4 linked regions of the Tamandua tetradactyla genome follow. The protein of the gene in region 1 interacts with the protein of each later gene in a biochemical or structural test. Links are inferred from orthologs where the notes say so. Each region holds a gene or a part of one and is shown on either strand. Other genes may lie near its edges.

Region 1 (7,803 bases):
CCCAGGATCCCACGTTGCATTGAGTCGCATGTCTTTTTACTCTCCTTTGGTCTGGAAAAGTTCTCCAGGCTTTCCTTGTACTGCATGACCTTGACATTTTTGAAGAGTTATTCTGTACCTCAGTGCTGTCCAGCTGAACTTTTTTTTTAACTGTACATTTCATGACGATAGAAATGCCTCTATCTGCTCAAAATAGTATGTGAAATGTGACTAGCAGGGCTGAGGAACTGATTTTAAATTTTATTTAATTGTAATAAAAATAGCTGCATGTGACTAATGGCTACTATATTAAACAGCACAGCACTACAATGTCCCTCATTTTTGGTTTGTTTGATGTCTCCTCACAATTAGCTTCATTTTATACATTTTCAGCAGGAATACCACAGACATGCTGTTGTGCCTTCCTTTGTCTAAATTTTTTAAAAGCTACCAACAGGTGACACGAAACCCCTTAGACCACAGTAGGCTGGGTTTTTTAATATCCCTTGAGGTCCAGTAGAAGGGTTGGCAGCTGCTCTTGGAAGCCTGTAGCACACTCCAGTGCTTTTCTGGCGAGGATTAGATGTGAGGCCACTGGAGTGTGCTACAGGGTGGGGGTTTAGTTTCCAACCAAAGTTTACCCCGTCTTGGCTAACCAACCAAGGCAGAGATGGCTTTATTTACAGTTGGATGGGTTCAGGCTTGATATTAAGAACATTTCCCAGCTGCCAAAGGTGGTGAGATATCCAGAGTTACTGAGGAAAGTAATAAAATCTCATCTGAAAAGCGATCGGGCCTCTTCCTGTGATCGAGTTTGGAAGCACTGGCTTTGGAGCTGGGACTGAACTTAGTCATTTGCAGGTTATCTCTGCCAAATCTCTTAACCCCTCTTTTTTTTTTTTTCTTTAAAAAATTGTGGTACAGAGGATGTAACAAACTTAAGTGTACAGCTTATGCATTTTTTACATATGCACAAACCCAGGTAGCTACCACCCGTATCAAGATATAAAACATTTTCATCCCCTTAGAAGGCACCTGTTTCAGTTTGCTAAAGGTGCTAGAATGCAGTAAACCAGAACTGTGTTGGCTTTTACAACAAGGATTTGTTAATTTACAAATTTACAGTACTAAGTCCATGAACATGTCCCAATTAAGGCATCAACAGGATAATACCTTCTCTGAGGAAAGGCTGCTGGGATCAGGGGTTCCTCTGTCAGATAGCATAGTACGAGGCCGGCATCTGCTGGTCCTTCACTCCCGGGTTTCATTGCTTTCAGCTCTGGTTCCAGTGGCTTCCTCTGTGGGTCCTTTTGGCTCCCCTGGGGCTTTTCTCTAAGCTCTCTCAGCTTTTTCTGTCCTTTATCCTCTCATAAAGGAGTCCAGTAAAAGGATTAAGATCTACCTTGAGAGAGGGCGGACGCGGCGCGCTCGCGCAGCCAAGAGGGAGAGAGGATGGAGCTCACGCGCGGCCGTGCAGGACTCGCCCAAAGCCGCTAGCGGGGGGGGGGGGGGGGGGGGGGGGGGGGGGGGGGGGGGGGGGGGGGGGGGGGGGGGGGCTGCGCTCACCTTGGTCCATGGACGCCAGTGCGGCCGCAGCCTAAACGAGCCAGTTCAAGGAAGAAATCTCTAAGTGTTTCAAATCGCATACTGACCAACTTGTGTTAATATTTGCTGGAAAAATTTTAAAAGATCAAGATACTTTGAGTCAGCATGGAATTCATGATGGACTTACTGTTCACCTTGTCATCAAATCACAAAACAGGCCTCAGGTTCATTCAGCTCAGCAAACAAACACCACTGGAAGCAATGTTACCACATCATCTGCTCCTAATAGTAGCTCCACATCTGGTTCTGCCCCTAGTAACCCTTTCGGTTTAGGTGGCCTTGGAAGGCTTGCAGGTCTGAGTAGCTTGGGTTTGAATACATCTAACTTCTCTGAACTACAAAGCCAGATGCAGTGGCAGCGTATGTCCAACCCTGAAATGATGGTTCAGATCATGGAAAATCCCTTTGTCCAGAGCATACTGTCAAATCCTGACCTGATGAGGCAGTTAATTATGGCCAATCCACAAATGCAGCAGTTGATACAGAGAAATCCAGAAATTAGTCTTATGCTAAATAATACAGATATAATGTGACAAGTATGTGGAAAGTTCTTTCAGTTTATTTGGCTGAAAAATCATACACAATTTCTTAATGTTTAATTTTCTATGATTAAAGAGCTTACCCTATACAGATGGCAATGCTAAATAGAGAAATCCTATTATTTCCTCAGGAAAATTCAACAAAAGACTTATTAGAACTATTTGAATTTACACATTTCTGGTATATTTTACCATCTTTGCAGACAGTTTATTTTGCAGATTTAAGGAATAAAGGGTGAATCTAAAAAAAAGATCTACCTTGAATGAACTGGGTCACAACTCAATTAAAATAAGCTAGCCAGAAGGTCTCACCCACAATAGGTCTGCACCCACAGGAATGGATTAAAAGAACATTGCCTTTTCTGGGTTACAGCTTCAAACAAGCACAGCACCTTTGTGCTCCCAACAGAACAATAGCACTCCAGAGATAACTAGCAATGATTTCTATTTATGTAGATTTTCGTTTTGCCTGATTTTGAACTTTAGGAGAGTGGTAACAGGTGGCACATATTCATCTGAGTTTGCCTTCAACAGTCGTGCATCATGTGGTGGGGTTATCCGTGTTTGAGTATCAACAGTTTTTCATTGTGGTCTATATGATTCCATTATGTGAATATACTACCATTTGTCAGTCTGCTCTCTTGTTGGTGTACACGTGGATTGTTTCCTGAGTTTGGCTGTTATGAATAAAAACTGCTGTGAACATTATCTGGTGTGCATGTTTCTTGGTGGACATATACCCAGGAGTGGATTGGTGAATCACAGGGTTGACATACATTTTAACTTTAGTAAAAACTACCAAACTTTTTCCCAAATATTCTAATTTCTCTATAAAAGAGGAAGAATAAACCTACTCTACCTGGTTGTTGTGCGAGTATTTCATGGGCCCTACACTCTTAAGACCTGCCCCTGAAATAGTGGAGGCTCAATCATTGCTGCCGTCCACCCAGCAGTGGACTGCGAAGAGCATGGGGTGGGGTGGGGGTGGGGTGCCCCACAGCCTTTGGCGGAGGGGGCCTCCTGTGTGGCTCACCACCTGCTTGGCCTCTGCCCTACACCCACCCACTGGGCCACCCCTGCCTCCCGCCCAGCCTGCACACCGCCTGACTGCGCACACAGGCCTTCGTGATCCCTGAGTGTCACCTGAACATTTATTTATTTTTAAAGTTTTTATCTTTTTCATTTTTAAACAGTTTTACTTACACATCATACAATCCAGCCTGTGTATAGACATGCCTTCACCTCCGTAATCTATCTAAAGACATTTCCTTTTCTTCCACAAATAATCCATACCTCTCCCCCATACCCTCCCCTTGACATTTAGTTTTGGCATAAGGCCTATGTTACATTCACTGGAAGCATATTACAATGTCACTGTTGACATAGACCCTAGCTTGCAGTGATTGTACTTTTTCCCATATACCTTCTATTTTCAACAGCCTGCAATATTGGTGTTCATTTGTTTTCCCTCATCCAAAAACTTTTTTTTATTTGTATAGTTAATCACCATCATTGTCCACTCTAGGCATTCCTTAATTATACCTTCTCAGTCTTTACGTTCTATCTTTTCTTCCGGTGTCATATGTGCCCCCAGCCCTCCATCATTCTCATATTCAGCTTCTTTCAGTTTACTAACATTATCGTACTACAATCAGGTACTATTGTGCTATTCATTTCTGAATTTTTACAATCAGTCCTGTTGCACAAACTGTATTCCTTCAGCACCAAATGTCCCTTCTCTACCCTATTTCAATCTCCTGATAGCCTATGTTATTAACTTCAATTCTCCAAGTTTGCCCATTCATGTTAGTTTGTATTTGTGAGACCATATAGTATTTGTTTTTTGTTTCTGGCTAATTTCCCTCAGCATAATGTCCTCAAGGTTCATCTGCGTTATTACATGCTTCATAAATTTATTGTCTCACAGCTGCATACTATTTCATCGTATGTATATACCACAGCTTGGTTTACCACTCACGGTTGATGGACATTTGTACTGTTTCCATATCTTGGCAATTGTAAATAATGCTGGTATAAACATCAGTGTGCAAATGTCCATTTGAGTTCTTGCCCTCAGGTCCTCTGAATATATACCTAGTAATGGCATTACTGGATCATATGGCAATTCTATACTTAGCTTCCTGAGGAACCACCAGACTGCTTTCCAGGGCTGCCGTTTATTGAATGCCGCCTGTGTGTCAAAACTTGGGACTCATGAACCAAGGAGATTAAAGCCCCTCACCCCTCAGAGCACGGTGGAAAGAGGGAGAGCTTCACCCAGGGCATATGAGCTAGGAACTCCAAACCACCCAGAGACTCCGAGGCCCGCCGCCTGCCTCGCTTCTGGCGAGACCGCAGACTTCCCCTGGAAGTTGTTCGCGATGTACAAGGGAAGAAAATAACTTACTGCCCCAGCAGGAACTGGAACTGCACCCAGCCCGGACACCCCACGCAACCCGCCTCTCACCCCAGGCCAAGTCCCAGCCCCCATCCCACAGGCCCTCGCGTGGCCCCGTCCGCCTCCGGGCCAATAGGCACGCGGCTCCGCGCCCCTCGGCCGGGCTCCCGGCCGCCGCAGGCCAAGTCCCCGCCCCCGTCCCACAGGCCCCCACGCCGGACGCGCGGCCCCGCCCCCGCTGCCGCCAATGGGCGCGCGGCCCCGCCCCTGGCTCCGCGCCCGTCAGCCCCGCCCCGAGACTTCACGGCTGGAGGCTGCAGCTGCAGGTCGCCGGGTCCGGCCTCCAGAGGTAAGGTCGCCGACCAGGGCGCCCGGTCTCTTGGCCCAGAGACACCGAGGCCTTTCGTGGAGGTGGGCCGCGGCGGCAGGAGCCGAGGGGGAGTGGTAGTCCGCCGGACGCGCGGGCTTCGGGGCAAGGCGGCTCCGGGGAGAAAGGGTCCGGCGGCATATGGGGCTTGGGATCATGGGGGGATCATGGGGGTCCACGTGCTGCACTCACCCGCGGGCGGCGGCGCGGGGCGGCGGCTCGGGCTAGAGGGGAGCTTGGTCCGGAAGACGACGCGGCACCCAGCCTTAACTCCTCCTACTGTTCCCAGGCCCAGGGTGACCTCGTGGCGAGGCCGAGCGCGAGCCCGAGCGCGCGAGCCCGTGAAGGCGGCGGCCGCGCCTCGGGGTCTAGGGTTGACAGTTTCCCCTGTGTCCGGGAGTTCCTGGCAGTGATAACTGCATGGAAAAACACCCTCCCCTCCCTCCTCCCTCCCCGGACCTGGGTCTGGCCCAGGGACCCGGGCCAAGGATCTGAGGCCTCCTTCCTCCCGGGTGGGTGATTATTTTTTTCTTGGAATGCTCCCTGGATCGGTCAGGTTGAAAACCCTCCGCTTCTCACCCTGAACGCAAGGCCACTTCCTTTCTCTTGAATCGGGAAGGAGGTTCCAGAAAAACCCTGAATAAGACAAAAACACCGTTCTTTGTTTGGATGCCGCGAAAGCCCCGTAAACATCTGGAAGGACAGTCTGTGAACTGCAAACAGTGGCTGCCTTAGATGTCTTCAACCTCTTCCAAAAACTTTCAAGAGAAGAGAATGAGTGGAGTATCCTCCCAGGCGCACACCTACCCAATGACTTCCCTGCCCCACCAAAGTGGCCTCAGACCCTTCCTGGGCTTGAATACAGGGGGCCATGTGGATCTCACTGTGCCAACAAGGCATATGGTGTACTGCTGTGAAACATCAAGATCCGAGTTCAAATTCTCCTCCACTGGCTCGCTGTGGGACCTGACATCACTTCCTCTCTCTTGGAACCACAGGGAGAGTTAATGGAAGAACCTTAGGAGGTGCCTTTCTATAGTAGTCCCTCAATAAAGATACATAAACATTTCTTTTTGGGTTACATTGCTCTCCCCCACTTGCCCTTAAAGATGAGGTTGAGATGCAGCAGAAGAGCCTCATCTGACTCCTTCCTGGTACCTGGTGCCATAGGGAGGGAAGGAGAGAGGGGTCCATTACCCACCACAGAGTTTGCTTGTCTCCTGAAGGCCCTACTCAGTACCCCACCTCCCTGAGCTTCCTTGACCTGTCACTAGCACTCACCCTATCAGAACGTATGTAGTACACGGTGATTATCAAAGCAGGTCTTCTAATGTGAGGCTGTGGACATATAGACAGGACCACTACCCCATTTCTCATGTGGCAAGGGGCTGACTGCCTCAGCAGCTTTTACGTCCTCTGTGCAGCAACACTGTCTCCAGGAGGTCTTACCCAAGCCTGACACCCATGTTTTTACTCCAAACTGGCCCTCCCCTCTACCCCTTTCCCTTCCTGATATCCAATAACATCTCATGCTACACTTGCTCAAAACTGAGCTGCGAAGTTCCCTCGGTGCTGCTGCCTCTCCCCTGGCTTCTCTACCTTGGTCAATTACCCCACCCAGCACCCAAGAGTCATCCTCGAATCTTTTCTTTCCCTTACCTCCAACATCCAAAGACATCAGGAAGCTACCTACCCCTTGCCACCGTGACTACCATCCTGGCCATACTCATTGTGCTGGTTTGAAAGGACTTGTATACCCTAGAAAAGCCATGCTTTAATCCTAATCCAGTCTTGTGGGAACACTCAGAGAGGCGAGCCACTGTGTAGGCGCTTGGAAAGGGTGGGACTGCCACTTTCTAAAGCCCTAAAGATAAATGACTGTCATACCTTGAAACCTAATGAACTTTGCCCTACAGGTTTTCGAAACTGCTTGGATCCGGTGACCTCTGTGTTCCTTCCAATTTCTCCCTGTGGAAATGGGACTGTGTATCCTATGACTGTCCTTCCTTTGTATGTTGGCAGCAAATAACTTGTTCTGAGTTTTACAGGTCCAGAGCCAGAGGAGAGTTTTACCTTAGAACAGACCATACCTGCAGCTGACTTTGATGAGACTTTGTACTAGTTTTAACTTTGTATTGCATTTATATTGCTACTGAAATGCTTTAAGGCTTTCTGATATTGTTATGAGATGAATGTATTTTGTATATGGGAAGAACATGTCTTTTTTAGGGTCCAGAGGGTGAAATGTGCTCGTTTGAAAGGATTTGTGTGCCCTAGAAAAGCCATGATTTAATCCAAAACCAATTTTGTGGGAGCACCCTTTTCCTTTCATCCCTATTCAATAATTTAAGTTGTAAACTTGATTAGTTATCTCCAAGGAGATGTGACTCACCTCTTGTGGGTATTAACCTTTCATTAGAGGGAGATGTGGCCTCACCCATTCCAGGTGGGTTTTGATTAGTTTACTGGAATCCTTTAAAAAAGGAAGCATTTTGGAAAAAGCTTGATAATGACAGGAGAGCAACAGAGCAGGGTCATGAGAATGATGAGTGCCAGAGCCCATGCAACCAGAGACCTTTGGAGATGAAGAAGATATATGCCCCTGGGAGAGCTTCATGAAACAAGAAGCCTGGAGAGAAAGCTAGCAGACATTGCTGTGTTCTCCATGTGCTTTTCCAGTTGAGAGAAACCCTGAAACATCATGGTCCTCTTGAACCAAGGTGTCTTTCCCTGGATGCCTTACATCTGGCATTTCTATAGACTTACTTTAATTTGTCATTTCTGTGGCCTTAGAATTGTAAACTAGCAACTTATTAAATTCCCCTTTTTAAAGACTTCCATTTTGGTGTATTGCATTCTGGGAGCTAGCAAACTAGAACACCTATCGTCCATCTACTGCTGTGGCCTCCTGACTT
Region 2 (7,079 bases), on another chromosome or scaffold:
CTGAACCACTGATCGTAGACTTTGGATGATTATAGGGTATGTGAATGTATCTCAATAAAATTGCATTAAAAACAAACACACAGCCATGCATGCTTCCGTAGTGGAGGAGGCCAGGAGCCTGAAATCAAGGTGTTGGCAGGTCTAAGCCTCTTCCCAGCATCTGATGGTCATCAGTGACCTCTGGTGGCCCCTGGCTTGTGGCTGCCTCTCTTGTCTCTGCTTCCATCTTCACATGGGTGACTTCCCTGTCCCTTTGCTCCCAATAAGGACATGAGTCATATGGGGATAGGGCCCATTTTCATTCAGTGTGACCTCATCTGGACTTAATGACACCTGTAGAGACATTTTCAAATAAGAACATGTTCACAGGTATCAGGAATCAGAATTTCAACATTATCTTTTTAGGGGTTGTTCTAGTTTGCTAGCTGCCAGAATGCGATATACCAGAAACAGAATGGCTTTTAAAAAGGAGAATTTAATAAATTGCTAGTTTGCAGTTCTAAGGTCAAGAAAATGTCCAATTAAAACAAGTCTATAGAAATGTCCAATCAAAGACATCCAGAGAAGGATACCTTGGTTCAAGAAGGCCGATGAAGTTCAGGGTTTCTTTCTCAAGTGAGAAGGCACATGGCGAACACAGTCAGGGTTCCTCTCTCATCTGGAAGGGCACATGGCAAACACAGGGTCGTCTGCTAGCTTTCTCTCCTGGCTTCCTGTTTCATGAAGCTCCCTGGGAGGCATGTTCCTTCTTCATCTCCAAAGGTCGCTGGTGATGAGCTCTCGTGGCTATGTTGTTCTGCTCTGCTTTCTCTGAATCTCCCATTCTCCAAAATGTTCCCTCTTTTACAGGACTCCAGAAACTAATCAAGACCAACCCGAATGGGTGGAGACATGTCTTCATCTAATCCAGCTTAACAATTACTCTTGATTAAATCACACCATCCAGGGAGATGATCTGATTGCAGTTTCAAACATACAGTATTGAATAGGGATTATTCTACCTTTATGAAATGGGATTTTGATTAAAACATGGCTTTTCTAGGGGGCATACATCCTTTCAAACCAGCACAGGGGGAGACCATTCGATGCATGACACCCTTCAAAATGTCAATCATTGTCATGACTACTTCAAAATCAAGGTCATCAGACACACACTGGGTCTTTCTGATTAATGCACTCATGAAGCACACCTATTATTACAACATCAATTTTTACGGTAATAGTGATAACTTTTTCTGTACCATTGGTTTCCTTTGTAACCCTGTGCATTTCATTTCCTGCCTTTAGAAGTGTTACTCTGTGAAGGGATCAATAGCCCTAAAAAGGTGTGAAACCCCAAAAAGGTTCAGAAGGAGCAACAGGAAGAGAGGAGAAAAACGGGGAAAGGAAGGTACCCTGAAAACTCCCTGAAGAAAGTTGTTGATCTTCTTCCAGGACTAGCTGGAAAAACCCCAACACTATCTCTACTGGTTTAGCTGGGATAAACATATGGTACCAACAGGGAACAAAATGCAATGAGCTGGAATCATCTTTACAGATATCAAGAATGCTGTGTGTCCAGGTGACAACTCTTGTAGCTGCTGAGAAGAAATTTTTCTCCAAGGAAGGATTTGGTTCTTTCCTCAATTAATAAACCACAGTGATACTTGAGCCTAACTTCTTGGGGAAGGAGACACTTTAGTTCTCAAGTGAAAGAATAAACACTTAAAAAAATTTTTAATATAAAAAGTTTAGAAACATATATATATATTTTTTGGCAAAAATAGAAAAGGCGGCCCTCCCAGCCCCCATCCCCCCAGTCCTGAGTGCAGCGGGGACTCCTGGCACAGCACCTGAGAAGGGCGGGGACGTGAGGTCGAGTTCTGTAGAAGCTTCTGAGGATGATCTCAGTCCAGGGGTAAGTTCAAGTCCACAGGGGAGATGGCCAGGAGACCTTCCTGGAGGGGGAAAGAGCCCAGTGATCAGGGAAGGTGACCTCAGCACAGCGGTATCCACCCTGGCCCGGTGAGGTCAGAGACAGGGGATAGCAACGAACAAGTGGGGAAGGGGACATAGACCCGTGGGGGGGGGTGGGGGGGGACGGAGACCCAGAGGTCTGGGGTTTTAATGATGAAGTTTCCCTCAGTTGTAAGATGAGGGTAACAGAACCCCATAAAGTTGTCATGCAGATTAACTGGATGGCTCAGCTACTATCCTAAGTACCTGCCCCCCAACCGCCAATGCTCACCCCAGCTTACCCATTATCCTTATTCAGAAAAATTTTTTTATAAATAAATGCATTTTCGCTGAGTCCCAGACACTTATGTCCACTGTCTCCTAAACATCTCGCTTAGGTGGTCTAAAGGGCGCCCGAAGGCTAGGTGGACACCTCCAACCTCCCACCAGGGCTCCCCACCTCCTTGACCCCCCCTCTCCGAGTCCATTCCCCACGCGGCCACCAGAGGGCGCCGGTTCCCACAGTCAGCAACCCACGTCCCTGAGCCCTCCCGAGGCCCGCTCCTTGCCGAGGCCCACTAGGCTCTGCAGGATCTGGACACTCCTCACCCGCCCCCCGCCCAAATCCCCCCGCCCCCTGCCTCGCTCATCCTGCTCCAGCCACACTCGCCCGCTGCTGCCCGTTTGCGCGATGATGGCTCCATTTCATGAGCCCCGCACGGCCTCCTCTCACTGCTCCCACTGTGATTTACGGGGCGGGTCCGCGAAGGAAACCGTGAGCACTGGGCAGGCGGCAGACGGGCTCGGGGACAAGACTGTTGCTAAAGGCTGCCAAGGTCGCAAGGCCAGAACAATGGGCCCTAATCCAGCCCTTAGAGGGCGCTGGCAGCGGGCAGACAAGGGAGAAAATCTTGATCCTAAGTAGCTGCTGCAAACATGCAAAACAAGTGAGCTCTACACGAGCGTCTGTTAGAAGGTGTGAATGCGGTGGGATGAAGGAAAGCAGGAGAAGGAAGGGAGAGGGTGGAAGGGCAGGGAGATGGCTGAGAATCCCAGTGGAGGTGAGGGGGGCCTCCCTGAGTAAATTAGCAAAGAGGGGAGGCAGAGGAATAGCCGGGAAGGGCACTCGGACAGCCACAGGGGGACAGCCAGGCACCAAATGTCCCCGCGGAGCCAGCACCCTCCAAGTATCCCATCCTAATCCAACCACTCCCCCCACTTTACAGACGTGTAGAGGCGCCAGGAGGGACAGTGGTTAGTTTCGGGGCTCACGGGGGTCATCGGCATGGTAGAACCATTTAAGACAGGAAGAGCCTCTGCACCGATCCCCTGTGCCTGGTGCACAAGAGGAACGGAGGGCTTCAATGGGGGGGGGCACTTGCCAGTTGGAAGGGGAGCCTGAGAAGCCGCCCCCCCCCACACACACAGCTCAGTCGAGTGCTGCGAGGCCCGGAAGGCGCTGCGACGGCTCACCCAGCCCCCGTGGGCCTGGATCCAGGGCGCAAAGCTGTGCACGTGCTCCACGCTGAGTCCCGCCAGGGTGCCCCCCAGGTGGGCCACGCGCCGGCTCAGCTCCAGGGCCAGGGCCAGGCGCGCCAGGGGCTCCGGGGAGGGCGGAGGGGGTCCGGGGCACGGCTGCGAGGCATGTGCGGGGCCCGGGCCGCTCCCGCGGCTGGAAAAGAGCTCCACGAGGCGCGCGAAAGAGGCGGCGGAGAGGCGGGCCAGTTTGCGGCGCAGGGCGGGGTCCGAGGCCAGCTGTGGGGTGGGGACAGAAGGGGCAGAGCCCACCTCAGCCACGCCCCCACGCGGGGGCCTGAGGAGACCTAGAAATTGACTCTAAGCCCCGCCCCCACCTATAACAGCAACTCATTATAAGGCACGTTCTAGGGGCTCAGAGAAATTAGTTCCAGGGGCGGGGTCTAGAAACAGACGCTAAGCCATGCCTTAGGTTTCGACAGCCAATCAGGACCAACCTCTACAGCAGCGGAGTTCTAGACTGTTTATCTCTCAGCCACGCCCCCTTAGTCCTGCCGAGCCAATCAGAGCCCCGGAACCCTAACTAAGGCCTATAAGAACCTGGGCCTCTGCCATTCTATTGTCGTAAAGCCATGTATTCTGCCCAAGCTCTGGAGTTATCAGATTCGAGAGCTCGGCCGCAAGGCATGCCCCCTCCAGCAGTCCGTTCCACTCTAAGCCATGACCTCGCTGAAGTCAATCCGAGCCTCAGATTTTAAACAGTCTCGCTTCCCCCCACCTAAGGATACCTCCTCTCACATATCCAATTTAGCCCAATTTCCTGCCTAGATCTTGCCTCTGACGGCCACGCCCTTCACATACAGGTCACGCCCCTCTAAGCCAATGACAGCCAGTAGCCTAAAGTACTCCCCTGGCCATACTTCCTGTCACTCAACTCTTTCTCTAAGGTTTGTCCCACCCACTCCCCTTCTGACCAGCCAATGAAAATGCAGATCTAGCTTCTCGTCCCAATGCCTTGCCAACCGCCAATTCCCATCCTCCTTGAGAAACGGAAGAGATGGACCATCACCTTCTCGTTGATGACTTCAGCCTCCTCCTCCAGCAAGGCCACCAGCCTCCGCAGCAGGGCTTCTTTCTCCGTGAGTGGGGGACCCTGTAACTCTGGAGGCAAAAGAATTCTGCTGGGGGCGAACTGTGGCTACCCTGCTACCTCCCGACCTCCCGACCTCCCGCGCGGTGCCTCTGCACCTCACCTGGGCTAGGTGGGGATCTAAGTTGCTCTTGGACCAGCTGTTCCAACCGCTGGGCCACCAGGGCATAGAAGTCTGGAGTAGCCGGGCCTGGGGTGAAAGGAATCAGTGACTTCTACATTCTTTCCTTCTCTCAACCATGGGGCAATGATTTCCATTTTATAATGGGGGGGGGGGGACACCAAAGTACAGTGAACAAGCTTGAAAAGACCCCCACACCCTGGTTCTTTCTACTTCATGCCCCCAATCTGGACTTAGAATGTGAGGGCTAAACGGAACCTTGGAGATGTTCCCATCCAAGGTAGAAAAACTAATAGTGTTCTTTCTGCTCTTTCTGCCCTGGGTCTGGCCCACTTCGTGCATCACCCAGTGATCTCAGTGCTTATCTTCTCATTACTAGTCTTCCCAGACTCACATGAGAGGAAACCTGTTCCATTCTTGCTTAAGTCTAAACTAGTCTCCTAGTTTTGCCTTTGGAGAGTGGAGGTACAAGGAAGGGAAAGGATTTTTGGTTGAGCTTCCAACCCCAAAACCTGAGTGGCATGACTGAAAATCATTTCTCCTTCCCTACTGGGGGGCACTTGTGACTAGAAAAGTCTGGGGAGAGGGAGGCATGGATGGAAGGAGAGAGATGACAAAGAGAGAGGAACCAACAGGCCTCTCACAGCCAGCCCAAATAGAGATTTCCTGGGGCAGGGCAGGATGGTGAGGCTTACTGAGGTCTTGAACTAGTTCCTGATCTCATCTGTGCTTCAGGAATCAAGGCTCTTGGCCCTGCTGGTTTCACAGGTGATCTGGGGAAATCTCTTACCAGGCCCTGAACTGTAGCAGGGGCGGAGGGGCAGGGAGCAAGGCCGAGGGGAGTCAGGGGGAACGTCTCCTCGCCCTAGGGGGCAGGGAAGGCATCGGCGAAGGCGGCTCAGGAAGTCGGCTGGCTGCTCCTGGGTGGGACTCCTGGAGAGGAGAACCTCAGAGAGTGACCCCAGAGGCCTCCTGCAAGCAGTCCCTTCTTCCTCCCACTGAGGGCCTCTCCCTGTAGCCCCAGGGACGGGGGAAAAGAACCAGGTATGAAGGGAAGGAAGGAGACAGAGTGAGACCAGAAGCAAGAGTCAGAGAGGGACCCACCCCAAAGATGGACCCTTGAGGGGAGGAGGACAACCCTTCTTACCTGGGTGCAGCTGTAACGGGGGACCCAGACACCTCGCCCTGCTTAAGGAAGGCGGCTAGGACCCTCAGTGTGTCATCCCGGAGCCCCAACTCCTCTGAGCCTGCCATAGGGGCACCTGTGAGATGGGAAGCCAGGCACTGGAACGCAGGGTCCACATGGAAGAGGAGGCTTGGCACCTGAAGGAGGAAGGGTCAGAGGCGCGTCCTCCTGGGTCCCCATGGGAGGAGTGGGGACTGCGGTTCCTGGATCCTGGGAGAGGAAGGGGCTGGGGGCTGAACTTCTGGGTCTAAGGGAGGAGGAGACTGGGGAGACTGGACTCCTGAATTTGAGAGGGAGAAGGGGGCTGAGGAGGCACTGAGACAAGACTCCTGGATCCTGGAAGAGGAGGGTACCGGGGGCCTGGACTCCTGAGTCTCAGGGAGGAGGGGGCTGGGGGCTCCGACCCCTGGATTCCAAGCCAAGCTACCGAAGCCCAGCCAGGACGGAGAATTACCAATCCCTGAGGGCTTCGTGCCAAATTCCCCTCGGTCTGCGCTCATTTGCTGCGTAGCCTGCTGGGAGGTGTAGTTCCGTATCTGGCTGAGGCTGGAGTTTGGGGGCCTGGGACGTTTGGGTGTCGTTGAGGCGGGGATGCGCTGCCCGCTTCGGGGTCGCGACCCCCTCCTCTTCCCTGCTCGCCCTGGTGCTCGCCAGGGCTCGGCTCACCTGATCCCCGACCCCGCCTCCGCCGCCTCCCGCGCTGCAACTTCGGCAAACTTTCGAAGTTACCGTTCCCACGCCTGCGCACTGGGCGGGGTGGGCGGCACCAAGACAGGGCAGGGCCAGAGCGCCGGCTGCCCTCTTATTTGCATATGCATTCCCAGCATGCCTTGCCTGTGACCGGATTGCCTAAAAAGATCCGGAGGGTGTGCATATCATTATACCCAAATTATATAAAGGGTTTTATCCCAAGACGTCGGTAGCAAAGAAAGTCCCACGGCTCTGACGTCCGGCTGGAGGGAAGTCAGGTGCGCCGCTTGGAGTTGGAGAGCTATCCCGGAGCCCAGAAGACAGAGGCGAGTCCCGAGGTGAGTAACGCGGAAGAGCTGGGGAGGGTGTTGGGGAGGTCGCAGACTGAGGAGGCGCTAGAGGAAGGGGCGATGGGGAGAGTGTGCACTCTGGGGACAAGAAAGGGCCACGCTGGGAAACTGCGGGAGAAGCTGCAGGAGGCAGTGGCCTAGGTCATTAGGTGCAGGAGGAAGGGACAGGGA
Region 3 (7,879 bases), on another chromosome or scaffold:
CCCCAACCTCAGTAGTTATGCTATTTGTGCAATAAATGGCATTTTAAAAATTGGCAAGAAACACAAATACGGTTGCAGCAGAGAGTCTCAACACACCCCTATCAGGCAGTACTTTTTTTTATCGGGAAGTATTGTGCCCAGAACCCGGCACAGAGCTCTTAGCTGTTATGTGGTTGTAAATTCCTCACTCTGGGAGCCATGTTTTTATAAAGAAACCCACAGACTGGACTGCCTGAGAAGAGGGCAACTAGGATAGTGGGCAGCTTTGAAATCCTGTTTCAGGAGACACAGACAAGCCAGCACAAAATTGGGTGAGCCTGGCCCCGAGGAGATGGAGAGTACAGGAGAGCGGCCCTCTGAATGTTAGGTTTGTGGTGGGGTCTCTTCCCCTTCTATGATCTTGACACTTCAGTGTGGGTCGACCCTGAGGTTGCTGCAGAGCCCATTTTCATTTCACCCCAGATCTGAATTTCCACCTCCTTACAAGGGCTCTCCCTGCACCTTAAAACCTCCTTGGTGAACGCAGCCCTGATCATTCCTTTCCTTCCTGGGTTCCAAATTCTCTCTAGCCAAAGCCTGGTCCTGTTGCAAGGTCAGCTCTCAACTGAAATCAGAGCTTCTGCTAAGTCAGCAGGGTGGAAGGCTGATCTGTCCTCACCACCGATGGATGCGGAAGCAGTGGGATGCACACCCAGAGGCAGCCTATGAATGGGGTCCATTCTGAAGGCAAATTCTAGAAAAACTTTCCCGTAAGGACTGTGGGAATGAAGGTCCTTACCTATGACCATGTTTTTCCATCTTGATGTCCTCAGCACTTACCACAGCAGCCAGCATAAAATTGGGACTCAATTTCTGTTGCCATTTTAGAGAGGCTGTATGCTGATGGGACAAAAACCTTTAGGCTATATTGTTAAGTGAACAATGCAAGGCACAGAACGGTGTACTAAGCATGCAAAATATTGCTTAATAACAAGGTGAAATACAAAAATACTTATCTGCATGAATGTTGAAAGGATACACAGGAAACTTATAAAAGTGTTTTTTACCTGTGGGGAGGGATATAGGCGTGGCAGCAGATGGGTTGAATAAGTAACATTTTATACCTTAATTTTTGAACCAAGTGAACATATAACCCTTTAAAAATGATTTATTTAAAATTAAATTATGTATTTATTTTGGCTACAGCATTTTGTCATGGTAACAAGCAGAACTGGAAAGCTGGAAGTTCACCCCTCCATTTCTCTTTGTGGTCACATAGTCTCTCACCTTTATTTCTTCCCAGGTTCACAGCAGACCAACAAGGTATACTTGAATCTCTATGGCATTTCAACTCCAGCACCCGGCACCCTTTTTCAGTCTAGAATTTTCTTTCGTTTTTGTTTTCCAATCTGCCACGCCACTTATCAAAATTTCTCTGCAAAATTTTCAAGCTTGGCTTGTATCCCCTTGGACATAGTATATACATATAGTCGTTCAGTCTGTGACTGGTAAGTCACAGCTTGGCCGTCCTTCTGGGTGTGATTCTGATATCTGTGGTTTCTGCTTTTCTCCTGATGTCTTGTCTGTCTGGTGCCCTACTATCTTCGTGTCTGAGATATATCTGCATGAGTACTTACAGGAAAAACTTGAGGCCCAGGATAACTTCCCCCCACAAAGGATTTTCCTTTGTTTTTGGCACAGGCAGTCCAGAGTCACTTTAAACAAGCTCAAAGTTTGAGATATTGGGCCTGGGATCCTACTTCTAGTTCCCTTAGGCTGCCAAAAATGCAGCTTGCTCAGCTTCCTCTTTTGGGTCAGCAAACGCACCTGGAAAAGAAGCAATCTCAGGTTTCAGGCTTGCCTCTATAGGTCCCCTACTTTTACTACAATTCCTCACTAGGCCATTGGAGTTTTGAGAAAGACATTTTAAAAATATTTTATCCAGTTTTTAAAGGTGCATTCACTTGGAGGGCCAGTCTGAGTTGCTCAGCCCTTTAATGGAAGCGGAAACCCTTCTGTTCCAGGCCTCCAGTTTTCAGGGGTTTGTCCTTCTCTGGACCTCAGCTTTCAGAAAAAAAAACACACACACTTTTTTTCTTTAGTAGTAAAGTCTCCATGGACTGTTCTCACACACAGACATTGGCCCCTTTCCTCCCAAATTAGGGCTGGAATAGAATCTCACCTCTTAAACACCTAATATACCACAGGAGCCGGAATCAGAACAGTCCTCCTTTCCAGGTATAAACAGAAAAAAGCCGACATGTGTGTGCATTCACGCCAGAGCCTCTTAAGTGCAGGCAAAAGCTGCAGCTTGGAGAATTCTAGCTTCAGTGTCAACACCAGCCTAAGGAGCTGCTCTCTAGCATAAAGGCCCCTCATAGGTCTCAGTTTGCAGACCAGGATGTGACAAGGAGATTGGAGCTGCAGCCAGCTCTAAAGGCAGAAAGAGGAGCCAAACAGAAAATATTCAGAGGTGCTGAATGATGCATTAAAAACCTGTAGGTCAGCTAAAGTCTCCATGGAGCCCTCTCTTAAAGAAGGCTTTTTCATTCCATTGGTTTTGGGTAACTGTTCCCAGGGCTTTTCCTAAATGGATTGGTATGGGGTGGCTTCAAAGACCGAAGATCCTCAGGGGAAACGTTTCGGGGCGGGTTTTCTCAGGCTGCTCTGTTGTAGGAATTCAGGTATCAATCTTTTCAGGGTCACTTACAGTACTTGCTTTTGGTGACTACTGTCAGGGACCTTTGGGGGTCCTCCTTTCAAGATAGGGCCTCGGCTTCCTCATCTGTAGAATGGAGCAGGAGAAAGACGCGGGTGAGCGGCAAGGCACAGGCGCCCCCGACTTGACGCTCGCAGGGCCAGGAAACGCCAGGAGGAGGCGGCGCAGAGACAGGCTGGTGGCGGAGGAGGGCGGTCCGGCTCAGCTTGCAGGCCCAGCTAGGGCGACCAGGTCAGTGCTCCGAGAGGCAGGGCGTGCTATCTCCCCCGCAGCGGCTGGGCGGGGAATGGGACAGTTCTAGCGGTTGGGGAACGTTGGGAGGTTGAAGCAAGAGCGACGGGAAGAGCGCGCTCAAGGAGGCGCCGGGCATGCGCGCCCGCCCCAAAGAGAGGCAGTTTTTAAAAGCCATATTTAAAAAGCAACCTTTTTGGGTGAATCCTAGCTTATATTGCTCCACTTTCGGTAGGGATGTATTTTTGTCTCAAAGCACATATTTGATCACGAATGCCAAAAAAAAAAAAAAAAAAAAAAAAAAGCTGGGGAGGTCCGGCTGGAAGCACCCTAGGGCCCGGATGCCTGTCTGTGCAGGCTTTGCGCAGACCACGGTGTTCAAACCTCGCCGCCGCTGCAGAGAAAAACACAGCCTGCGCCCACGGCAGCCCAGCCTCGGCGCCTTGTTAAGAAACCGTTTGAAGCCGATCTCTAGGAGGGGTTTGGACTTTCAGCAGAGGCTAGACAGGTCGTTGGGCTTGGCTGGCTGGGGCAGGAACTCGGCTTCTCACCTGTCACTCCACCCTCTGAGTCTTGCCAGTCACCCTACCGGGCAACTTGTTCCCCCTGTCAACTCTCACTTAGGGCTTTCTGATAGAAACTGAGCCCCATCTGTGGACCTGTCTGCACTGCGCTCCCATTGCCTGAAAAGTCAGGGTGGGGGCGTTGATTCGTGCAACATGGATGAGAAATTTTGAAATAGTTCAGTGTGCTTATATGGTTCATTTTTCTTCATCAGTTGATTATCAGAATATCTAAGAACCTAGTCATTACTTATATTTAAAATTTATAAAAGGTTCCAGGTCTGTGGTGCATGAAGCTTATAGGTTTTGGGGACCTCTTCAAGAAAAAAAGGATACAAAATTAGAAACATAAATTTAAGAGCCAAAGTAAATATTTATTCAGAATGAGAAAAATAATGACAACAAATTACACATTTTTAAAAGCTGAGGAATAACACAAACATAAAAAAATCCAGAAAAATATTTTAATTAACTGTCAACCATTTCTATATTTTTCCAACATACTTAGAATTATATTTTTTGACTGCCTCTTCATTTGTAATGTGTTTTCTCTGGTGAGAATAAATAATTTGGTTTTTCCTCCAACGTGGCTAATCAAAATTTATTTTTTATTATTTAAAATAATTTCAGTTTCACAACTCAGTATTCATAATAACATCAATTTGGGGGGAAACCTCTGTCAAGAGTTTCTTATGTGAGCTCTAAGATTTCAGAACATTTCAAGATTCCTCGGGTTGTGACTAGCCTTAAATTGTCTTTAAATTGCTGAAGGACTTTAAGCTGTTTCTTGTTAAGTCCTTGTATAATAAAATACAGAGGTCCCACATACCACCCTAGTATTAATGCCTTGCATTAGTGTGGTACATTTGTCACAATTCATGAAAAGAACATTTTCGATTCACTTTTTGATGTCAGGATGATTTCTAGTGATTTCATATAGAAATATGCAAAAACAACTTTATTGTATGACGTAAATATGCAAAAACAACTTTATTGTATGATGTTTATATAATTAAATAGGTTGCAATGTTAAATTTATTCCTGAAGAAAACTTTCATTTTGACTAACCATTGATGAGAACAATTGTACACTTAAAATTTTCTGCATCTGAGGGTTGGATGGATTTACTGGTTCCATGATTCACAGACTCATGGTGTGTCATGCCACAAGACATGTACTTTTTAAAAAATATTTTTAATTGTAAACAACAAACAAACATTCTTGACATACAGACATTCTTGACATGATTACAATCAATGGCTCATAGTATCATCACATAGTTGTGTATTCTTCACGATGATCAGTTTTTTGAACATTTGCATCTCTCTAGCAAAAGAAAGAAAAAAGAAAAAACTCATACATGCCATACTACTTACCACTCCCTCTCATTGACCGCTAGTATTTCAATCTATTCAATTTATTTTAACCTTTGTTCCCCCTATTATTTGTTTATTTCTCATCCATATTTTTTACTCATCTATCCACACCATAGATAAAAGGGGCATCAGACATAAGGTTTACACAATCACACAGTCACTTTGCAAAAGCTGTATCATTATACAATCATCTTTAAGAAACATGGCTACTAGAACACAGTTCTACAGTTTCAGGTATGTCCTGCTAGCCACTCTAATATACCATACACTAAAATGAGATATCTGAATAATTAGTAAGAATAATGTACAGGATAAACTCTCAACTGTTTGAAATCTCTCAGCCACTGACAATTTATTTTGTCTCATTTCTCTCTTCCCCCTTTTGGTTGAGAAGTTTTCTTGATCCCTTGACACTGAGTCCCAGCTCATCCTAGGATTTCTGTCCCACATTGCCAGGGAGGTTAACACCCCTGGGAGTCACGTCCCATGTAGAGAGGGGGAGGGCAGTGAGTTTGCTTGCCATGTTGGCTTAGAGAGAGGCCGCATTTGAGCAACAAAAGAGATTCTCTGGGGTAACTCTTAGGCATGAATTTAAGTAGGCTTAGCCTATCCTTTGTTTTTTGTTTTTTTTTTATTTTTAAATTTTTTTTAAAATACCAAAAAACGCCAAACACAAACATTCGTAACTTTTGATCATTCCATTCTACATATATAATCAGTAATTCACAATAGTTGCATATTCATCATCATGATCATTTCTTGGAAAATTAGCATCTATTCAGAAAAAGAAATAAAGAAAACAGAAAAAAATTCATACATATCATACCCCCACCCTTGCCATCAACAATCACCAGCACTTGACTCTAAATTTATTTTAACATTTGTTCCCCCATTATTCATCTTTGTTCCATATGTTTTACTCATCTGTTGATAAGGTAGATAAAAGGAGCATCAGACACAAGGTTTTCGCAATCACACAGTCACATTGTGAAAGCTATATCATTATTCAATCATCTTCAAGAAACATGGCTACTGGAACACAGCTCTACATTTTCAGGCACTTCCCTCCAGCCTCTCCATTACGTCTTGACTAACAAGGTGATATCTATTTAATGCGTAAGAATAACCTCCAGGATAATAGCCTATCCTACGTAGGGATAAGTTTCATGGGGCAAACCTCAAGATTGACGGCTCAGCCTATTGATTTGGTTGTCCCCACTGCTTGCGAGAATATCAGGAAGTCTCCAAATGGGGAAGTTGAATTTTCCGCCTTTTCCCCCAGTCCTCCAAAGGGACTTTGCAAATATGTCTTTATTCACTGTGGAAATCACTCTGGGATTTATCGGGGCATCACACTAACCTGGGCAAACCAACAAAATCTCATGCCCTATTCAAGGTTCCATGGTGTTCAATTAAACTATCCATATAAGTTAAATTAGGAAATGCACTGGTCAAAATTTAAATTTGGCACCAAATAAACATTTCTTGCTTTAGTTTCACACAGAAGTTGAAGTTTTAAAATATGAATGACCATCTATTTTCAACACTCTGCAATATTGACATTCCTCTGTTCTTCCTCATGCAAAAGCATTTTTTAATTTGTACCCTTTAGTCACTATCATTGTGCACTCTAAACATTCCTAGTTTATATCATCTCAGTCTTAATTGTCTGTCTTTCCTTCTGATTTCATATGTGTCCCCAGCCCTTCTCCCTGTATCCTTCTCACACTCAGCTTCATTCAGTGTACTTACGTTATTGACAAGACACGTTCTTATCACATGTGCTCTGGACCCGTACTTTAGTCTCTTATGCCAGTGTCTTGTCTCAGTGGGTGGTGGAAGTTTTCCTGGAAGCCATTCTCTTCGGCGACAGCTAGCAATAAACTAACTGTAGAAGGAAGTGACTGTGCACTGTGTAATGTACCTGAATAATGTAAGTCCAATTCCGTTTCTCTTTAGCCAGGTGCCCAAAATGCCACTTGACCCAACGAGAAGGGTGACAGACAGATTGAAGTAGAAAAAGACAGTAATATTAGCTGTGTCTAAAATATATTTGTTTTGATTTGTGTAAAGATATAATGTTTACAATATGACTATGTGATTGTGAAAACCTTGTGTCTGATATTCCTTTTATCCAGGAGTGTAAAAGGATGAGTAAAAAAATATGGATAAAAAATAAACAAATAATAGGGGTAACAAAGGTTAAAATAAATTGAGTAGAGGGTGGTATGACAGTGGCTCAGTGGCAGAACTCTTATCTGCCTTGCCAGAGACCCGGGTTTGATTCCTGGTGCCTGCCCATGTGAAAAAAAAAAAAAAAGAAAAAAGAAATGGAGTAGATTGAAATACTAATGGTCAATGAGAGGAGGGGTAAGGTGTATGGTATGTATGAGTTTTTCTTTTTATTTCTTTTTCTGGAGTGATGTAAATGTTCTGAGAAACAAGATCGCGATGAATAAACAATTATGTGATGATATTGTGAGGCATTGATTGTACACCATGTATGGAATATATGTGAGTGAAGATTTCTCAATAAAAATATTTTAAAAATATATATTAATTTTGCAAATTGCGCAAAATATTATGACCATGTGAACACGTTGGCAAACCCCTCTTCAGGCCTCAGTTAAGGTTGATGCAAGGGAGCTGCTGCATGGTAGTTCAACCTCTGCCCACCCCGCTATTACAGCAAGATTGTCACTGACGTCTTTTCTCTGCTGGGCTCCCACATCAGGCCGACACTCACTCTCAGCCTCACCTTATGTCCCTCTGCATTTGATGGCTCCTTTTGACTCTTCTCCATGTCTCAGCAGTTTGGAATTGGAAGCTTATAAATTCCCCTCCTTACAAGGAAGTGGCTAATTGTGTAGCCCTATCTTTGTTGAGGTGGGTGTGTCCAACCAGGTAATGACAGCAAACCAGTTACTCATACACGTTCCAATCCCAAGGTAGCTCCATTCCTTTCAACCAGGTCCTTTACCAATCAGAGTATTCCATACAGGTCCATCTGG
Region 4 (6,376 bases), about 39 Mb from region 1:
TTGTGCTTAAGTAGGCCTGGCTGGGCACAGGGCTGTATGGACTTCAGGGAGTAGAAGGGCAGGAGCAAGACCAAGCCCTCAGGCAGGTGGGATTTGAATCCAGGGTCACAGGTTCCTGGTATCGGAGGGGGATCATGTCTGGCAACCAGGCCTGTGCGGAAGAACCAGGAGAATTCCACTTGGACCCCTACTTTGTGGCTTCACCCACCATTGTGCCCCCACCCAGGCAGGAAAGGGGGAAGAAGTAGGTAGGAAAGGCCTGGTAGGTTGTGGCTACTCAATAAATGCTTTTTTTTTCTTTTTGTTAAGATGATGTCTGTCCTGGGACCACAGTCCCTACTGGAAGAGGTGGGCTGGCCACAGTTATTGCCCTGGTATACTATACTGATTTATGAGTGTCCATAATAAACCCTAAGGCCACAGAATACAAGTGTGAGTCCTGGCAGGCTGAGCATGGTACAGGACATTCCCATCAACCTTCCCTACCCCCTAAGCAAGCAGCCGGAGGCAGAGGGCCAGGCAGGCCTGAGCAATCTTTATTCTGCAGAGGGACAGTGACCACAGATCCATATACCATGCCAAGGTCGGGAGAACCAGGGGCCAGTCCTGCAGGGGTGGGCAGATCCAGGCAGGGGGCAGCACCTTGGGTAGCTGAAGGGCAAATGGGCAGACAGGCAGGGGCCTAAAAAACAAAAAGAAACAAAAAAATAGACAAACCACACAGCAGGGGTGCTGGAGCCAGCACTGAAGAGGGAACCCTAAAGGGACTGGTGCAGGATCCACGCAGGGGCAGAGTTAGGTGACTGCCCCCCCCCCCCCCCCCCCCCCCCGCAACTGGGGTCCACATCCCTGCCCAGCCCACCAGAGGCAGCTTAGTTCAGGAGTGGCAGACCCTGACTGGTTCCCACTCCCAGGCCAGCCCCCCCCACCCCCTGCTGCTGGCTCAGAAGCCGAAGGTTTCTTGGGAGGCGTAGACCATGTAGAGAAAGCCATCCTCATCTTTCTCCTGCTCATAGATGTCTGCGATGGGCGTGGACACGCTCACCATGCTGTGCTGGTTTACCAGTAGGAAGAAGGCCTGCGTAGGGTTCAGCTGCAGGCGGCGCCTGAGGCAGGAAGGTGAATGTGAGGGGCATGCAGGTAGTCCCTGGCCCCTTCCCCAGAATCGCTCGCAGCCTCTTCTAAGAGGTTCTCTCATGAGGCAGCACTGACCCCTAGACCTTGACCTTCCCCAGCCTCCCAGAACAGGGGTCCCACTTTTGCCTCTTCGAGAGGGAATTTGGGCTTCTGTTTAACCCCAGCCAGACCCAGGTTCCCCTCCCGGGCAGTTGCCCGCGCACCGGATGATCTTGACTAGCTCGCTCATGTTGACATGGTCGGGGACCAGGAACTTTGTCTTGTCCAGGACGGGCAGCTGCTTCTCACCCTTGTAGCGTTCTATGATCACCTGCGAGTAGGGTGGGCAGGAGAGTGGGAACATGTGAGCCTGAGGGCCAAAGGCGGGCCAGGGACGGGGTAGGAAGGGGGCAGGGGTACTCACTGGGATCTTGCTAGGGTGCTGATCGCGTATCTGCTGCACCTCCTTACAGCGGTCCGCTGCAGAAGAAGAGCAGGACTTGAGGCGGGGCAGAGGTGCTGCCGGCGGCTCCGCCCTTGAGGGGCGGCCCCACCTCACCAGCCAAAGCCCCCACTCCCCGGGGCTATTGAGCCCTGCAGCCCTTGGCACCAGATGGGGTGGGGAAGCAGGGAGACCCCCTGCCCAAGCCGGACCCTGCCCGTGGGGCCAGCTGGAACCTGATGTCACAGGGCTGACGTCACCAGCGGCAGGCCAGGGCAGTCCGCGTCCCCTACCCCTGCGCCCCCCATCCCACGCTTACAAATCACCAGCCCGACCTCACCGAAGCTCCGCCGCTGCTTGAAAGGCCGGTCGGAGGGCATCGCGCGGGCCTGGCGGGGCGCGCAGGCCAAGGCTCTGGGCGCGCGGTGCGGGGATGTGAGTGCGGCTTAGGGGCGCCGCGCCTCACGCTGAAGGGCTCTCGGGCTCGCGCTGAACCCAGCGGCGGAGGCTTAGGGAGGTAACTCGCTCGGTGACGTCAGGTCACAACATTCCTTAAAGGGGAGGCCGGCGAGCTGCTCCCATTGGGCCGACGCAAAACCCGCCCGTTCCGTCTCGTGGCGTCACGGCGCAGAGAGCCTGGATTCCCGGCACAGAGACGCGGCGTGGGGGTGGGGGCGAGGGCGCGCTCCCATGGTGCGTCACAGGCACGACGTCATGGCGTGCGCGGGCATTTACCCAAGGCCCTTTTCGGAGACCGAAAGAAGGGGAGATGGTGGTGGGTACTTGACCCACCTTGGGCTGTGACGTTCTGGAAGGTTGAGAGAGCGCGCGGGTTCACCGAGTCATTCGACCAACGTGTACTAGGGTCTCGCCTGTTAGGGAACTGCTGGATGCTAGGGATGACATCAAGGAACCCAAGTCCTCACCTTCGTGGTCTTAATGGTTAGAGGAAAGCAGAGGGGGGGAGGGACATTAAAGCATACGGAAAGTACAAGACACCAAAAAGACTCTAAAGGACATTCTAGAATTGAAAAATAGTCAGTGGAAGGGGTAAGAAAGGTTAGAGCAGAAGAGAAAGTCGCCAAACTGGAAATACATCAGAAGCAATTACATGAAGAAACAGGTAGAAAATAAGAAGTGACATGAGTGATAGAGTGATAAAGACTCACAGATCCAATCAGAATAAGGAGACAAGACAATGTGAGAAGTGCCGGTAGAGCTCCCGAAATTCAGGATCATCACAGAAAATCCAAAGCAGGATAAATAAAAATAAAATCAGTAGCTAAGCACTTTGCAGTAAACCTGCAGAACTCTAAAGATGAACTCTTAAAAACTATTAAAAAGGCTAGATTACCTGAAAAATAAAACTAGACTGACACACTTCTCAGCAGCATTTATAGAAGCCAGAAGAAAATGTAATAGTATCTTCAAACTGCTGAGTGCAAAAATACTATCAGCCAGTAGTTAATTCATGATTAAAAGGTCAGGGACAAAATAATGTTGAGAGCGTTTACAGAAAACACTATTGCTAAAATAAACTGTAAAGGATGTACTTCAGTTACAAGACCATGTAATTCAAGAGGAAGAAATTAGTTGGGGGGGGAAAAATGGTGAGCAAATAAACTGGTGAATGTGTAGGTAGATCTAAAACACATAATATTGAACAGTAATGGCAATAATTGGCTTGGGGGTACCAAAACAAGCTGTATGAGACACAGCAGCATGTAAGACAGAGTATAATTAGAGTTACACTTGCCTGGCTTTGTGAAGTCACGTATGTATTTTAAACAATTAATAATAGTGACTAAAGAATAGAAGGGGAATGTATTATTGACAATGCAGAAAAGAGAAAAAGGGTAGTAAAGGGTACCTAAAATTATAATAGACAAAGAAAACAAATGAAAAAAAGTAAAAAGGGATGGTAAATTAAAAGCCCAAAACCACAGGTAGAAATGTCTTAAATTCACCTTTTTTTTTTTTTTTTTAAAAAAAAGATCAATTTGGCCAAGACAAATAAAATTCTATTCTGTGCTGTTTCAAGAAGGCCCTTAAAGACACCACAACTAAAAAGATGTACAGAGAAAAACTAACCAGAAGATGTAGTCATAGCAAAATCAGACAAAATAGACTTTAAGGCAAAAAAGCAGTATTAGGGATAAAAGAGGGTCACCACAAAACAATGAGCAGAACAGTTCTCTAAGAAGAGAATTCTGAACTTATATATTCCTGGTTAAAATATATATGAAGCAAAAGTGACAGAACAACAAGGAGAAATTGGTAAAATCCTTCCTCATACTGGAAGGTATTCAACAGACCTCTCTCAATAACTGATAAACAAAGCAACCAAAACAGGATTTTAACACAATAATCCTGCTCGGTGGACCTCCGTAGAATCCTGAAGCCAACAAGTTACTTTCAAACATACATGGAGGAAAAAAACATACATGGAACATCTACAAAAAATAACCCAACCTCTAGGCACCAATGTAAAAAAAAAAAAAAGACAGCAAATTTCATACAGACCATATTTTATGACCACAGAGAAGAGCCAAGAAAGCCCCAAATGTTGGAAATTTAAATATGCTTGTAACCCTTTAAAAATGAAATCATATAAAAATTTAAAATATTTAGAACCAACAAAAAATGAGGCTACATATAAAAACTTGGGGGGGGGCTAAAGCAGCACGTAGGAGGTAAGCAATAAGCCTAAGGAATTTAGAAAATGAGCACTTTTAAGGACATTTTAAAAGGAGCAACAGTATAAACTCAATATAAACTCAAAGTGGAAGGGATATCATACTAAAGAGTAGAAATTAATGAATGAAAAATATATACTAGTATGGATCAATGCATCAAATCTGGGTCTTTTAAAAGACCAATAAAACAGTGTGCAAAGAGGCCCAAGTCAGCAGAAATTACAAAAATACCATAAACAACTTTATGCCAATAATTTAAACCTTAGATTAAATGGGCAATTTCCTAGAAAAATATAGTTTGTCAAAACTAAATGAGATCTGAACTTCTTGGAATTAAGGACACTACAATGTCCAGCACATAGTAGAAGCTGAATGGAAATTTCATACCAATGAAAAATTTAATTTAAATAAAGTATGAGTTCATATATATGTATGTGGATGTGGATCTGCATATGTATGTGCGTATGGGTTATCCAAAATAAATGGAAAGAGACTCCCACTATTTTATTTGCTTTTTAAGGAAATCATATCTCTAGAAAGGTAGAGGGCTTCAAGACTCGTGAGTAGGAAATTATACGTATTTATATATACATAAAAATTTTGTGGCTTTTCAATTAGACAAGAAAAAGAAATACAAGGCATCAAAATTGGAAAGGAAGAAGTAAAACTATCACTGTTTGCAGATGATATGATACTATACATCAAAAGCCCTGAAAAATCCACAGCAAAACTACTAGAGCTAATAAATGAGTACAGCAAAGTAGCAGGTTGCAAGATCAACATTCAAAAATCTGTAGTGTTTCTATACACTAGCAATGAACAAGCTGAGGGGGAAATCAAGAAACGAATTCCATTTACAATTGCAACTAAAAGATAAAATACCTAGGAATAAATTTAACTAAAGAGACAAGAGACCTATACAAAGAAAACTACAAAAAAAACTGTTAAAAGAAATCACAGAAGACCTAAATAGATGGAAGGGCATACCATGTTCATGGATAGGAAGACTAAATATAGTTAAGATGTCAATCCTACCTAAATTGATTTACAGATTCAATGCAATACCAATCAAAATCCCAACAACTTATTTTTCAGAAATAGAAAAACCAATAAGCAAATTTATCTGGAAGGGCAGGATGCCCCAAATTGCTAAAAGTATCCTGAGGAAAAAAAATGAAGCTGGAGGTCTCACGCTGCCTGACTTTAAGGCATATTATGAAGCCACAGTGGTCAAAACAGCATGGTATTGGCATAAAGATAGATATATCGACCAATGGAATCGAATAGAGTGCTCAGATATAGACCCTCTCATCTATGGACATTTCATTTGATCTTTGATAAGGCAGTCAAGCCAACTCACCTGGGACAGAACAGTCTCTTCAATAAATGGTGCCTAGAGAACTGGATATCCATATGCAAAAGAATGAAAGAGGACCCATTTCTCACACCCTATACAAAAGTTAACTCAAAATGGATCAAAGATCTAAACATTAGGTCTAAGACCATAAAACAGTTAGAGGAAAATGTAGGGAGATATCTTATGAATCTTACAATTGGAGGCAGTTTTATGGACCTTAAACCTAAAGCAAGCGCACTGAAAAAAGAAACAAATAAATGGGAGCTCCTCAAAATTAAACACTTTTGTGCATCAAAGAACTTCATCAAGAAAGTAGAAAGACAGCCTACACAATGGGAGACAATATTTGGAAATGACGTATCAGATAAAGTTCTAGTATCCAAAATTTATAAAGAGATTGTTCAACTCAACAACAAAAAGACAGCCAACCCAATTACAAAATGGGAAAAAGACTTGAACAGACACCTACCAGAAGAGGAAATACAAATGGCCAAAAAGCACATGAAGAGATGCTCAATGTCCCTGGCCATTAGAGAAATGCAAATCAAAACCACAATGAGATATCATCTCACACCCACCAGAATGGCCATTATCAACAAAACAGAAAATGACAAGTGCTGGAGAGGATGCGGAGAAAGAGGCACACTTATCCACTGTTGGTGGAAATGTCAAATGGTGCAACCGCTGTGGAAGGCAGTTTGGTGGTTCCTCAAAAAGCTGAATATAGAATTGCCATACGACCCAGCAATACCATTGCTAGGTATC

Evidence for each region.
Region 2: the proteins of MAVS (region 1) and IRF3 form a complex in vitro, tested with the Homo sapiens proteins (2 studies listed by BioGRID). The link is inferred for Tamandua tetradactyla from reciprocal best matches to the Homo sapiens genes MAVS and IRF3.
Region 3: of the proteins of MAVS (region 1) and TRIM31, one has a biochemical effect on the other in vitro, tested with the Homo sapiens proteins (2 studies listed by BioGRID). The link is inferred for Tamandua tetradactyla from reciprocal best matches to the Homo sapiens genes MAVS and TRIM31.
Region 4: the proteins of MAVS (region 1) and MAP1LC3A form a complex in vitro, tested with the Homo sapiens proteins (2 studies listed by BioGRID and IntAct, with this or other methods). The link is inferred for Tamandua tetradactyla from reciprocal best matches to the Homo sapiens genes MAVS and MAP1LC3A.

The regions. Positions count from the first base shown.
Region 1 is NC_135327.1:56,981,092-56,988,894, reverse strand, and holds the start of MAVS (mitochondrial antiviral-signaling protein), read left to right. Parts: upstream 1-4,789; 5' UTR 4,790-4,870; intron 4,871-7,803.
Region 2 is NC_135342.1:11,485,435-11,492,513, forward strand, and holds the start of IRF3 (interferon regulatory factor 3), read left to right. Parts: upstream 1-4,064; 5' UTR 4,065-4,480; coding exon of another isoform or gene 4,481-4,572; exon of another isoform or gene 4,573-4,589; intron 4,590-4,664; coding exon of another isoform or gene 4,665-4,751; intron 4,752-5,472; coding exon of another isoform or gene 5,473-5,615; intron 5,616-5,829; coding exon of another isoform or gene 5,830-5,944; exon of another isoform or gene 5,945-6,005; intron 6,006-6,322; coding exon of another isoform or gene 6,323-6,368; exon of another isoform or gene 6,369-6,639; intron 6,640-6,676; exon of another isoform or gene 6,677-6,781; 5' UTR 6,782-6,896; intron 6,897-7,079. Other genes in the region: BCL2L12 (bcl-2-like protein 12), read right to left, coding at 1,887-1,937, 3,409-3,690, 4,481-4,572, 4,665-4,751, 5,473-5,615, 5,830-5,944, 6,323-6,368.
Region 3 is NC_135331.1:84,619,405-84,627,283, forward strand, and holds the start of TRIM31 (E3 ubiquitin-protein ligase TRIM31), read right to left. Parts: upstream 3,006-7,879; 5' UTR 1,267-3,005; intron 1-1,266.
Region 4 is NC_135327.1:18,193,073-18,199,448, forward strand, and holds MAP1LC3A (microtubule-associated protein 1 light chain 3 alpha), read right to left. Parts: upstream 2,259-6,376; 5' UTR 1,939-2,258; coding exon 1,899-1,938; intron 1,597-1,898; coding exon 1,541-1,596; intron 1,448-1,540; coding exon 1,341-1,447; intron 1,107-1,340; coding exon 944-1,106; 3' UTR 930-943; intron 683-929; 3' UTR 515-682; downstream 1-514. UniProt on the Homo sapiens protein: Ubiquitin-like modifier involved in formation of autophagosomal vacuoles (autophagosomes). While LC3s are involved in elongation of the phagophore membrane, the GABARAP/GATE-16 subfamily is essential for a later stage in autophagosome maturation.